Linked DNA regions of Neurospora crassa OR74A. The protein of the gene in region 2 interacts with the protein of the main gene of each other region in a biochemical or structural test. Links are inferred from orthologs where the notes say so. Each region holds a gene or a part of one and is shown on either strand. Other genes may lie near its edges.

What was found.
Region 1: the proteins of pex4 (region 2) and pex12 form a complex in vitro, tested with the Saccharomyces cerevisiae proteins (3 studies listed by BioGRID). The link is inferred for Neurospora crassa OR74A from reciprocal best matches to the Saccharomyces cerevisiae genes PEX4 and PEX12.
Region 3: the proteins of pex4 (region 2) and pex10 form a complex in vitro, tested with the Saccharomyces cerevisiae proteins (2 studies listed by BioGRID). The link is inferred for Neurospora crassa OR74A from reciprocal best matches to the Saccharomyces cerevisiae genes PEX4 and PEX10.

What each region holds. Positions count from the first base shown.
Region 1 is NC_026504.1:5,625,384-5,629,243, reverse strand, and holds pex12 (peroxisome assembly protein 12), read left to right. Parts: upstream 1-1,299; 5' UTR 1,300-1,624; coding exon 1,625-2,965; 3' UTR 2,966-3,354; downstream 3,355-3,860. Other genes in the region: NCU05244 (thioesterase), read right to left, coding at 1-525. UniProt on the Saccharomyces cerevisiae protein: Component of a retrotranslocation channel required for peroxisome organization by mediating export of the PEX5 receptor from peroxisomes to the cytosol, thereby promoting PEX5 recycling.
Region 2 is NC_026501.1:3,007,406-3,011,191, reverse strand, and holds pex4 (ubiquitin conjugating enzyme), read left to right. Parts: upstream 1-1,388; 5' UTR 1,389-2,107; coding exon 2,108-2,276; intron 2,277-2,407; coding exon 2,408-2,727; 3' UTR 2,728-3,165; downstream 3,166-3,786. Other genes in the region: NCU02637 (hypothetical protein), read left to right, coding at 1-680. UniProt on the Saccharomyces cerevisiae protein: Catalyzes the covalent attachment of ubiquitin to other proteins. Essential for peroxisome biogenesis. Required for UBC4-independent ubiquitination of PEX5.
Region 3 is NC_026501.1:5,159,103-5,162,953, forward strand, and holds pex10 (RING-1), read right to left. Parts: upstream 2,421-3,851; 5' UTR 2,148-2,420; coding exon 858-2,147; 3' UTR 524-857; downstream 1-523. Other genes in the region: bem46 family protein, read left to right, coding at 4-169; NCU03278 (protein-ER retention protein), read left to right, coding at 2,835-2,925, 3,004-3,851. UniProt on the Saccharomyces cerevisiae protein: E3 ubiquitin-protein ligase component of a retrotranslocation channel required for peroxisome organization by mediating export of the PEX5 receptor from peroxisomes to the cytosol, thereby promoting PEX5 recycling.

The DNA.
Region 1 (3,860 bases), on a different chromosome or scaffold from region 2:
ATCGCTGATATCACCGCTAGAAGCCTTTTCGAGTTCTCGTCGGTGTAGTTCGAGTATTCGTTGCTCGCCCGTGTATGGCAGTAGACTTGGGTCGACGGTAGTGCTTGGTGGTTGTACTGGTACTGGTGCGGGTGCTGGTGCGGGTGCGGGTGCTGGTGCTGGTGCTGGTGGTGCTGCACTTCTTGGTGGCTGCTGCTGCTGCTGCTGCGGGTGACGACTTTGTGAATGTTGACTTTGTGGATACGGTAGTAGTGGTGGTGGTGCCGGTTGCTGAAATTGCTGATATTGTTGGTGTAGATGGTGTAGATGGTGCAGATGATGATGTGGATGTTGATGTTGACCACCACCACCGCTCTTTGGTGGTGTTGCTGGTGGTGGTGGTGGTGGTGGTGGTGGCGGTGATGCCGACCCCTTTCTTCCTTCTTGACCACCGGCCATAGTATTTTCTTGCTCCTCTTGGGATGCTAACGAAACAACAACGACTTCAGATGTCTTTACTGGGCGATGATAAGTACGGATGGTCATCTTTTATCTCCGTGAGCGACGAGACGAGACGATAAGACGGGAAGGGAAGGGAAATAAGAATGATAAGATTGTGGCTTGCAGGTCCGGTGTTTCACTGTGCCGTCCGTAATGGGATGCGCGGCAGGGAAGGGCGGTTGTAGATTGCCGTTAGTAGAGGTAGTGTAGTCTCGTAGTGTGTATGTAGGTAGACGGGAGGGAGGTAGGTAGTTGCCTTGGTCGGTGTTGGTTAGTATCGATGTACCACACACACACAGGAACCGGCAATAAGTCAAAACAGGGAAGTAGTAGGTAATTTATCAATGTAGTGTTACCGGCGGTACAAGTAGTAGGTAGTAGTAGTAGGTATGTGTAAAAGAGCGGGATGGAAACAACACCGACAACGGATGCCCGACAACTCGACGGAATCGAACCAAAGCAAAAGAGGAGAGGGGGGTATCCATGCCTGCCGTGACTACCTAGCATAGTAGCAGTAGTCTACACTACACATCACAGGCACAGGGGGGGATGATTGGGGATGAATGGGCAAATGGGGTAAACTGGCGGGCATCCGTTGCAACCCATTTCTTGGGGTACATGAATGACCTGACAGCCTCGGCTACCTGGCAAGGTCCAAATGGCGGCGGCGGCAAGCAAAAGCAAGCAAGCAACTACACTAGACAGCGACGGGAGCACCCACAGGCCTCCACTGCGCTGCCCGACTTTCAGCTGTCCACTCACAGTGCTACCAAGTGCCACTTTTGATGCGTCGCGGCATCCACTCCTTGGCCCCGGTCTGAGTCCCCCCCCCCTTGTTCGAACTTCCAGGAGGTCGAGGTCCAGGTCCATCTCGCCCCGTTTCTTTCAATTCATCCCAATTATATCGTGAACTTGACTTGACATCAACAAATCCATCGATGGAAACCACGACGGCGATATAATACTAGTAAAACGTCACACCGACCCCCTATCACTACGCGCGACACTGGAACATACCGAAAGAGGAACCTCGAACTCACCCCCTCTCGATACAACCGGCGGGAGCCTATCCCATCCCATCCCATCCCGCCCCCGATAACCACCAGACCGTAACAATACCCAACCGGGCACCGTCGCAACAACCATGGAATTCGTCACCGCCCTCCGCGGCACCTTCGACGACGGCAAGCCCTCCCTCTTCGAGCTTCTCTCGGAACAACAACTCGCCTCCCTCCTCCCGCCCACCCTCCGCTACCTCCTCACCGTGCTCACCCACCGCTACCCGCGCCACCTGCTGCGCATCCTCAACTCCTTTGACGAGCTGTACGCCCTCGCGGGGCTGCTCGTCGAGCGCCACTACCTCAAAACCCGCGGCGGCAGCTTCACCGAGCACTTTTACGGCCTCAAGCGCGAAAAGGCGCTGGCCGCCGAGATCCCGCGCGCGGCCTCTTCGGCGCCCAACCTCGTCCGCGACGCCCTCAAGCTCTCCGATGTCGACATCTGGAAGAACCTGGCCGTCATGGTCGGGATCCCCTACCTGAAACGCAAGCTGGACGAGGCCTACGAGATCGATGCGCCGCGCGCCATGTTGGGCGGCCAGTACACGCGGCCGCCGGCAAAGGGGGCCCCGATGAAGGAGCGGTTCTTGTATTACTACCGCTGGTTTCTACGTAAAGTGTACCCGAGCTTGAACGCGGCGTATTACTTTGCCATCTTGGCGTTTAACCTGGGGTATCTGTTTGACAACACAAAGTACCATAACCCGTTTTTGTGGCTGATCGGGACGCGCGTGCGGCGGATGAACGGGGCGGATTATCAGGCGATTGAGGCTCTAGAGAAGGCAGCGGGGGCCGCCGCCGCTACCTCCAGATTAACAGGGGGGTCGATGTTCAGTCCGAGGAATATGAGTCGAAGGCTGATGGGCGGTCTGTCGCTGGTGCTGCCGACGAGTATTTTTGCGCTCAAGTTCCTTGAGTGGTGGTACGCTTCGGATTTCGCCAAGCAGCTGAGTCGCAAGGCGGCGGAAAGCCTGGATCTGCCGCCGCCGACGGTGACGGGGCTGGTGGAGGCGCAAGCGAGGAATAAGCCTAAACCCAAGATCACGAGGACGTCGGAGGATGGTGTGGAGGAGAAGGCGGATGAGGATGATGAGGCAGAGGAGGAGGCTAGCAGCAAGGAACCAACGCCCGAGACGGCGCCTATAGCGGCTTCGACGCTGTTGCCGATTTTCACGGTGCCACCACCCAAGAGATCTGATATGTGCCCTATTTGCGAGGACGAGATCCAGACGCCGGCGGCGTGTCAGACGGGTGTGGTCTATTGCTTTTCGTGCATACACAAGTGGATGAGCGGGACCCATGTCAGGCAGGAGAAGTTCATGACGAAAGAGCGCGAGGGCAAGTGGGAGAGCGGAGAGGGGAGATGTGCCGTCACAGGAAGGAAAGTGCTGGGAGGGACGGAAGGGCTGAGGCGGATCATGGTTTAGCCGGAAAGAAGATATTGAGGATGATGGATTGGCATGAGTTGTGAAAAGCGAACATTAGACATTATTTAATGGTGGCATATAATCTGGCAAGTTGCATAACCAACATACCGCAAACGAACATGTAAAACTGGACATGCTTACTGGTCAGACAATCAGATTCCTCTATCACCTCGTGGTCGATGAAATGTCAACAGCCATCTTCTTTTTTTTTCTGTACTGCCAAACCGGATGGTTCACGTACGAACAACACGAAGCTCATGCAAGAAAAAAAAAAAAAAAAAGGGGGGGGGGGATCAGAATGTCTATCAACACCGTTTCAGTAACTCGATTAATCTACCTGTACGTACTTCGCGAATCCAAAAAGGCAAAAGAAAGATGCGGTTTGTGTGGATCGAACACACGACCTTCAGATTTATGAGTGAAGTGGACTTCAGTCTGACGCTCTCCCAACTGAGCTAAACCCGCTTTGTTGTTGGACTCTAAGTGCCAAACCTTAACTCATATGGTAGCACCTACCACTTTGCCTGCCATGTTGACCAAATTCGCAATGAAAATGGAATTTCCCATCTTCCTGTATGTCTGTCTACGTCTTGCTTGACGATAATTTCTTTCAGATTACTAGCTAGTCAATTATTTGCCGTGATGAGAAGCGCTATCTAGTGTAGTTGATTTTACTTCAAACCCTGTAGCAAGTGGATGGCGATGTGATAGAGTTCGGTAGGTAGGTAGGTAGGTATTATTGCGATGCTTCTCATTGTATAACCATATACATACGACCACCAGTGAATATTCTGCCTTTCTCTGCCTGAAGAACGCTGTCTTGACTAGGTAGCTGTCTATGGAGAGAAAAAGAGAGAAAACAAAGGGGTAATGGAAATGGAAATGCATAGAGTGT
Region 2 (3,786 bases):
AGGATGCGTTTCGACATGAGACATCCGTCACTGATTCTCCCCGTCCTAGCTTCAGCGGATACCAGAATGAGCTACAGGCTAGACATAGCTTCTCGGGTTCTGCGACTCCTTCGCCCAGGCAGACCTTCCGTCCCAAGGACCTTGCTGTAGTTGACTGCAGTCCGTTGACCTTGCCTGCTGCTGTGTCATGCGCACCAGTCAGTCCTCACTCGATGACCCCGTCATCAGCCTTCCCGTCTCCCAGGTCTCCCTTATCCTACGACGCCCATCGCATTTCGACGGCACCTTCATCCATCACTGAGGACAATTTCCAGTCACTGCTTATGGGCGAACCCGGACCAGAGGTACGGATCTCGGTGGATGATGTCCCATCATTGACCAGCGGCGACTCGTCAATGACTCGTGAGAGCTTCTTTGCGCAAAACCCTCAGGCTAGGCAGCTATCCTCCAACACGCTGCCTAGGCCTGCCTCGTTCAGTGCCTCTGCCTTTGGTCGAAGGCGATCGAGTCTTGCTAGCCTTAGCCGTCTTGTTAGCAGCTCGCATGGTGAGCGCAGCAAGCTCTCGATGGAGGTTACGGCGACTGATGACGGATCAGAGAAGAAGGTCAAACCCAGCAAGACCAAGCGGCTCGGCCGGTTTGTACAGTTCTGGAAATCAAAGGAAAATTGCGAGGCTTAACGATATTTTTCAGACGAAACTAGCTAGGAGCATGGGTGTCAAGGCTCTTCTGTTTTAATGTGGCGCTAAGTACGGAATTTTGGGGATCTAGATGAGATTTATTGGAGGGCTTTTCGACTTGACGGATAGGGCGTTTTTCTTTTTGACGATAGCACGAAGGACAAGATAACACGAGACGAAGGGGAGCAGCAATAGCAATCTCGGTCACACCAGAAATTTGTCTAGGGGACGAGATGTTGATTTCTCGAGGAATGATGTGGTTAAGGGACATATGATTCAAAGGTGGACGATGACAAATCTTTTTGTGATTCTATGGACATATCATTGCAAATGTCTACGATCGACTTAGGGTGGAAGGTTTTGATCAGGTGAGCTTCAAACGCAACACGATTATTAGGCAATTCAAACCATGATACCATGCGCTTAAAACGTTGCTATTGTTTATGTCGGTGCCTTTCTGTCTGTGTGGTCTTGTCCATTCCATTGGGGTAATATGGATTGCCGTCCCAGAAAACGAATAACGGCACTTCAGCCTCGGCTTCAGCGACACAAAGGGTTCTTGAGTTTCAGCGCGCCGTAGTGACGCCGCCAAACGGGTTTCAACCACTAGGGATCCGCATCTACGGAGCCACGTAGCGGTAGATGCAGCCGCCGGAAACGCCGATGCGCAGCTGGCCCGTCAGGGGTACCCCGATCAACCGCACTGCGGTGGCAGCAGCAGCAGCAGCAGCACCTCTGTGGGCACAGCACTTTGGACACCTTGACATCAACAAACAATACCTGAGCCCTACACGACCGACGATACGCTCTTTTACGAGATCCAGCTACACTGAGTGGTATTGATCACGGTTCGCCCACCCGTTACAGATCGATCATCGAGGACCGTGCACCAAGAGTCGCTTTACACACGGACAGAGCTATACCGATTTAGCGACGACACCACAGTCGGCAACTGCGGTGCGAGAACCATCCACTTCACGGACACGATTTCCAAACGAGGATACGCAAGTCTATTCCCCAAAGGGCTCCCTCGTTTCTCGTCGACCTGCTCTCAGTTTCAAACGCGGGTTTACCTCTGTGGATCATTTATACTTTCATAGCGTACTACCGAGTACCGAACGACCGACCACTAGCACTGGCGCTGGCGCAACTGAAGACTCGACCTTACGGATAGCATTGACGAAGCTTGACTAATCTCGTTCGTTCGTGTCTGTCTTGCTCTTGGATAAACGAGTCGGAATCACATCAAGGCACCATCGGGCAGCTCCGTTGGAAACGCTGAACAAGGAAGAATAATTATCCCTACCAAATTGAGAGGACACTCAACTATCATACAAAGCGCTACAGAACAAACAAACCGGAGTATACGTTACATACACCACAGACAAGGATACACGCATACACAGACGTACACATATATATAAACAATGTCTAACCGCAGCGCAGCCAAGCGCCTAATCAAAGAGCTCACGACCTGGAGCAACATCGAGTCCAAAGAAGAGAAGGGCGTCGAGCGGTTAGGTCCCATCAACGACGATGAGTTGTTGATTTGGGAGGCCGTGATTAACGGGAAGGGGGTAGGTGGTGGTTATGATGGTATGTCTCTTATCTTTGGTTTTTTTTCCCCTCCCTCCCTCTTATCCATCCCCCTTTCCCTTTTCATGTTTACCTCGCCCCTTCTCCCAAAAGAGCCTCCATTGTTAACGATAACACACACAAATCTCCAGAAGGCCGCTGGCTCCTCCACATAACCCTCCCACCGACCTACCCCCTCCACCCACCAACCATCAAATTCATCACCCCCATCGTGCACGCCAACGTAGCCCTTACCACGGGGGAGATCTGTCTGGACTTGCTCAAAGAAGCATGGACGCCCGCTTACAGCGTTTTGGAGTGCGTGAGAGCCATCAGGCTGTTGTTGAGCTGTCCAGGCATTGACAGTCCGCTTAATGTGGATGTCGCGGCGCTTATAAGGCAAGGGGATCATGTGGCGGCGAGAGGGCTGGTGGAGTTGTGGGTTGAGGAAGAGAGGTATGAGGGGTCTTGAAAGAGTTGGGCAGAGGGCAGGGATAGAGGTGTAGAATGTACGGGATGGATGGAGGGGAGAATGTAAAGAAAGGGTATAGGGGGGGGGGGGGGGGGCTGGATTGGATAGCCGTGGGATGGGAAATAGACCATTGGATTTATTTTGGCTAGTAGCTCAAGCGGGCTGTGGAAGCCTCTTACATACGAAGAGCGCTTATGAGTATGTCATGTGGCTCTGCTCCCTCCAGGCAACAGATGATATTTCATGTTTCCAGACCTTATGTTGCTGTTGTAGCGAATCTTCCAACATGCCAGCCAACGCCTGTGGGCTTGGTATAGATCATTCCTGAGATATACGCTTAGATATCAGGGGCAAGTGGTATTGGTACTCGCCACAGCCACGTTGCTGCCATGTATGAACTTGTAGAGATGCACAACAACTGGACACTTGTGCAGTGACTGGTCATGGTTCCTTACTATGTATATACAAAAGAAAGAGACATCGCTCCAAATCATCGGAGATGGTCTATGCTTACTGTATTAGAAAATGGCTACGGTTGTTAGTCACAAAAGAACAGAACAGAGCGATATACCAACCTGTACTTGATGCCAGCAAGGAACCTAACCGCAACCCCTTACTTTTCATTATGCTATTAGTTTAGGAAAGATGAACTTCAAAAGTCCCCTATGTTTCCTCGCCCATAGTCTAGTATATATCGTCAGAAGTCGTCGCTGTACCCTATGTCTTTGGAAACTTGACCAGATAAGGTTTGTTATAAGATTCCTTGCCCCGGTCGCTCAGAGCTTTTGGAGTTAGCAAAGAGCTCTTCTCTCGACAACGAGCAGACAACCTTGATCATCACACAAGGTTGCGTCTGGCACATCACACATCAGACGTGTATTTGAACCGCGCCCTCCAGCTGTGCACTTTTCGCTTCCCACATTCCTTCCCATAACCCAGAACTCATCAAAAAATTTACAAGAACTTAGAAGAACGCCACAGTTGCTGGGCCTAGCAACTCTGGATGCTGTGAAATTGAACATCTCCAAGGCAGAAAATTCCACTGTTACTAGCCAGACT
Region 3 (3,851 bases), about 2.2 Mb from region 2:
TAGACCCACTCATATGAAGCAGCTTTATCATCTCTCCAACGCTCCGATAAAGATCTGGAAGCCTCTTCCCAACGGCGACCATAACTCGAGTGTCCTCGAAGAAGGCTACTTTGAAGCCATCGCAGAATTCATCCAAAGGGTTTCCTCAGGAGACCCCGAAAAGAAATAGCTCGATTCGACAACGAAATCCGCGCCGTCGCTCTCTCCTCATTCCATACGGTAAATGGGTCTTTCTGTTGAAGGGGAGGCATATGATGTGCCCACGATCTTGATGACGCGAAAGCGTCCACGATTACGAGCTGTTGGGGGACAGCGAAGCACAAGTACGACAACCACGACCTTGGTGGCTTGATGCTTGAAGATGGGTCGGAACTTGAGGCTTTCATTGAGGTGTCATATTTTCTCTTTCGCACCTCGTGTATGTATTTCATGACCCTTTGGACCTATGTCGAGGTTGCTCGGGTCTTGATTAAGACCCAAACGGGACGAGACTCGATATTAATCAAGCAAGAGAAGTTTTTGTAGAGTAAATACCAAATATTAATATCGGACAAGGAATAATTCAATTTCATACTTGAACATATGTGCATTAGCTTGTCAAAAGTTCCTGACCTTTTGAGAATATGTCGGATCATTCAATCATTAGGCTATGTACGAAAACAGGCTCTCTCTCCTGGCAATATGCTTGCTGCATATACAATTATCCCTAAACCGCAGTTGTTGACTGTTCGCTCCTTGTCATGTGCAAATACTACCCAAAATCTGTTCTCGAGAGGACGTTGTAAGACTCCTGCTTTTTGTCATATCTCCCGTATATTAAGTATTTTGTCCCCCCCGACCGCCAGAAAAGGACTGCTCTAAGCAACCCTCAATGGCAGAATATGCTGTACCATCGTCTCACGTCTGCACAACGGACACTCAGGCTTCTCGCGCACCCAGTCTCCAATACACGACCAGCAGAAGACATGTCCGCACTGGGTCGCCGCCGGGTCCTTCAGCTCTTCCAAGCAAAGCGTGCACATCCTCTGCTGTCTCCCCTTGATCCAGCCCATGACCTCCTCATTCGCCGCCAAGTCGTAGTTCGCCCTCCCGCCCTTGGGCACAGGGGTGTGCGTCGTCCGTCCAATCTCCGCCAAACTACGCTGGTTACCCGACTTGCCCGTCTCCACCAGCAACTCGTTATTGCTGCTATAGGCATTCTCATCTAACGACACATCCAGTGTGCCCGCAGCGCCCGGCCCAAAGGCGCGCTCCCGAATGCTCGCCTCGGTACTGGCCTCCTCGGCACTAAGCGGCGAAGTTGACGACAGCTGCGCCGTCACATGCAGGTATCCCCGGACGAGCATCTGCACCACCAGCAGCACGCCGAGCACTTCATAGCCCGCGCGACCGCCTTGACCCTCCTCGATGCGCCGCGTGAACACATAACGCAGCCCGAAGAGGCGCTTGGAGAAAGAGTAGTAAGCACCCGAAAAGTAGAATACGGCCAGCGTCAAGGCGTGCAGGTGCGCGCCGCTGGTGATGGAAGTCAGGTGTGTGAGCAGGTAGCGCTTCACGCGGTACTCAAGCGTTGACACTGTGGAGAAACCACCGCCCTTGTTGTTGGAGGTAGATGGGGTGGCGCCCTTGGTGTCGCCGCGGCCCTGGCGGGCAAGCACGGTGAGACGGTCCTGGAGGCGCTTGCGGAGCGCGGCGCGGATGGAGGGCAGCAGGCGGCTGAAAAGGTAGGGGACAAGAACGCTACTAACGATGTAGCCGGCTCGTCGCTGGAGCGAGGGCAGACGGGGGCCACCGGCTTCGCTGCTGGGCTCGACGGGGCTTTGGGTGTCTGGTATCCTGCCGTTGCCGCCCGTACTCGGCTCTTCGACTTGGACTAGGTCGCAGTACTCCTCGCCTAAGGTGCGGTTGCCGAGGAGGGTGGTGAGGCATAGGTAGAGCAGGTCGGCAGCCGTACGGGTTTCGGTGGCCCAGGAGTGGGCGGAGCGGGCACCGCGAACGCGCCGGTGAAGGTCGGTCAGCTGGTTAGTGAGGACGCCCTGGAAATAGGCATCTTTTTGATGCGCGCGGATAATGTCGGGGGCTGCAGCGAATGGATATGGCGAGCTCGTGAGCGGCGGAGGAGGCTTCTTGGTGGCCGTCAATGACATGGTAATTGATGTCGTCGTTTGGGTCGGGTCGGGTGGGCTCGAAGTCGGGGGGGTCAAAAGCTGTGTTTACACGGTCGACGTATTCAGGGGGAACTCTCGAACCCTAGGAGAGCTCGTATGCCTACAGTCGAATCGTCGAAGCTGTGGCAGTGGATGATTAAGTCTTTTCGATCTGAAATTATCCGAGTTGTTGTTTGATGTTTCGAGATCGACAGGCGGCAGTTGAAGCTGAGATGAAAGTGGTAGTCGGGAACGGATGGACCTCGGTCCTTGGGGTTAATGGGGGCAGCACGCCCGGCGCCGCCCCAGGCGTGGTTCCTCCTCACAAGGAGCGAGCTGAGGAATTGGCAGGGGGGTGCCCAGAACGTCGTAGCCCAGGCTTTAGCGGCAGGGATGATGCAGCGGGTTGTCACAGGACGGGGCCGCGACCAGGGGTTGCACTGACGTCGGGTCTTCTCCCTAAGCCAAAAAGAGTGCACGCGACAGGGGCTTGGCAACTCCGGTGTCTTTGCGACAGCTACCACAATACAGATGAAATTAAAATTTCCATCTTGACACTTGACAAACTCCAAACGCGTTACTGCTGGGAATTTGATCCCAAGCCTATCAACTCTTCTTTGCGTCCAACTGTTACTTCTCCCTCTCCGCATTCCATGACGGACAGCAAATTGACCGCTGCCTGGCGCAATGGACGGTGATCCCGTGGTTGAGCCGGAGCTCGACTCCTTCAGCTTGACCTTTCCCCTTCCCTACCGGGTTGCCTTCATCGTGATCATAGGTATGTATATACAAGTTTCCTACCGTATGTTTGCTCTCTGGATACACGGTTGTAAACTGACTATCTCTGGTTGATTAGCTGTTTGGGGCTGGGGCCTCAACCTTCACTTCCTCCATAATCGCAAGATCGACGTCCCCTCCTTAATCCGGTACCCAGGAAGATCGAGCCCAACCCAGCTCCCTCACCACCACTCGACATACCGTCTTGCGACTCTTCTTTCGCTAAGCTCCGCTGTTTCGATTCTCACATTTTGGTCGTTTACCAGGCGCGATCCAAAACGCGTTATCGACTATGACTGGATTCCCATGACCAACTTGGCAGTGACCGCAGCCCTCTTCGTGCTACCCCTGCGAAGACTGTCTGTTTCGCACTCCGGTCGACGTCGACTACTCGCAACTCTGCGCCGCGTCAGTGTGGGAGGTTTGGCTGAGGCCAAGGATGGAAAGTTTGGGGATATCTTGCTGGCTGATGTTCTCACCAGCTACGCCAAGGTCCTTGGGGACCTGTTCATATGTCTCTGCATGTTCTTCACGCGGAATGGGTCTGCTACTGACCGACCCGATCGCAGCTGCGGCGGCACCTATCTCGTACCACTTCTCCTGACGATACCAAGCGCTATTCGGCTGCGCCAGTGTCTTATCGAATATCTGCGCGTGCGAAATTCCCCTTTCAAGGAGTCCACGGGCTGGGGTGGACAACATCTCGCCAACGCGGCCAAGTACTCGACCGCGTTTCCTGTTATCATTCTAAACGCCATGTTGCGTAACGCAAACACCAGCGGTACCCCAACTACGAGCCTGTACCGTGCATGGATTGTTGCGTGTCTGCTCAACTCACTCTACAGCTTTTACTGGGACGTTGCCAAGGATTGGGATCTCACCCTCTTTGCTGGGGCACAGGAACGCAATTCTCCCGATCATCCGTTT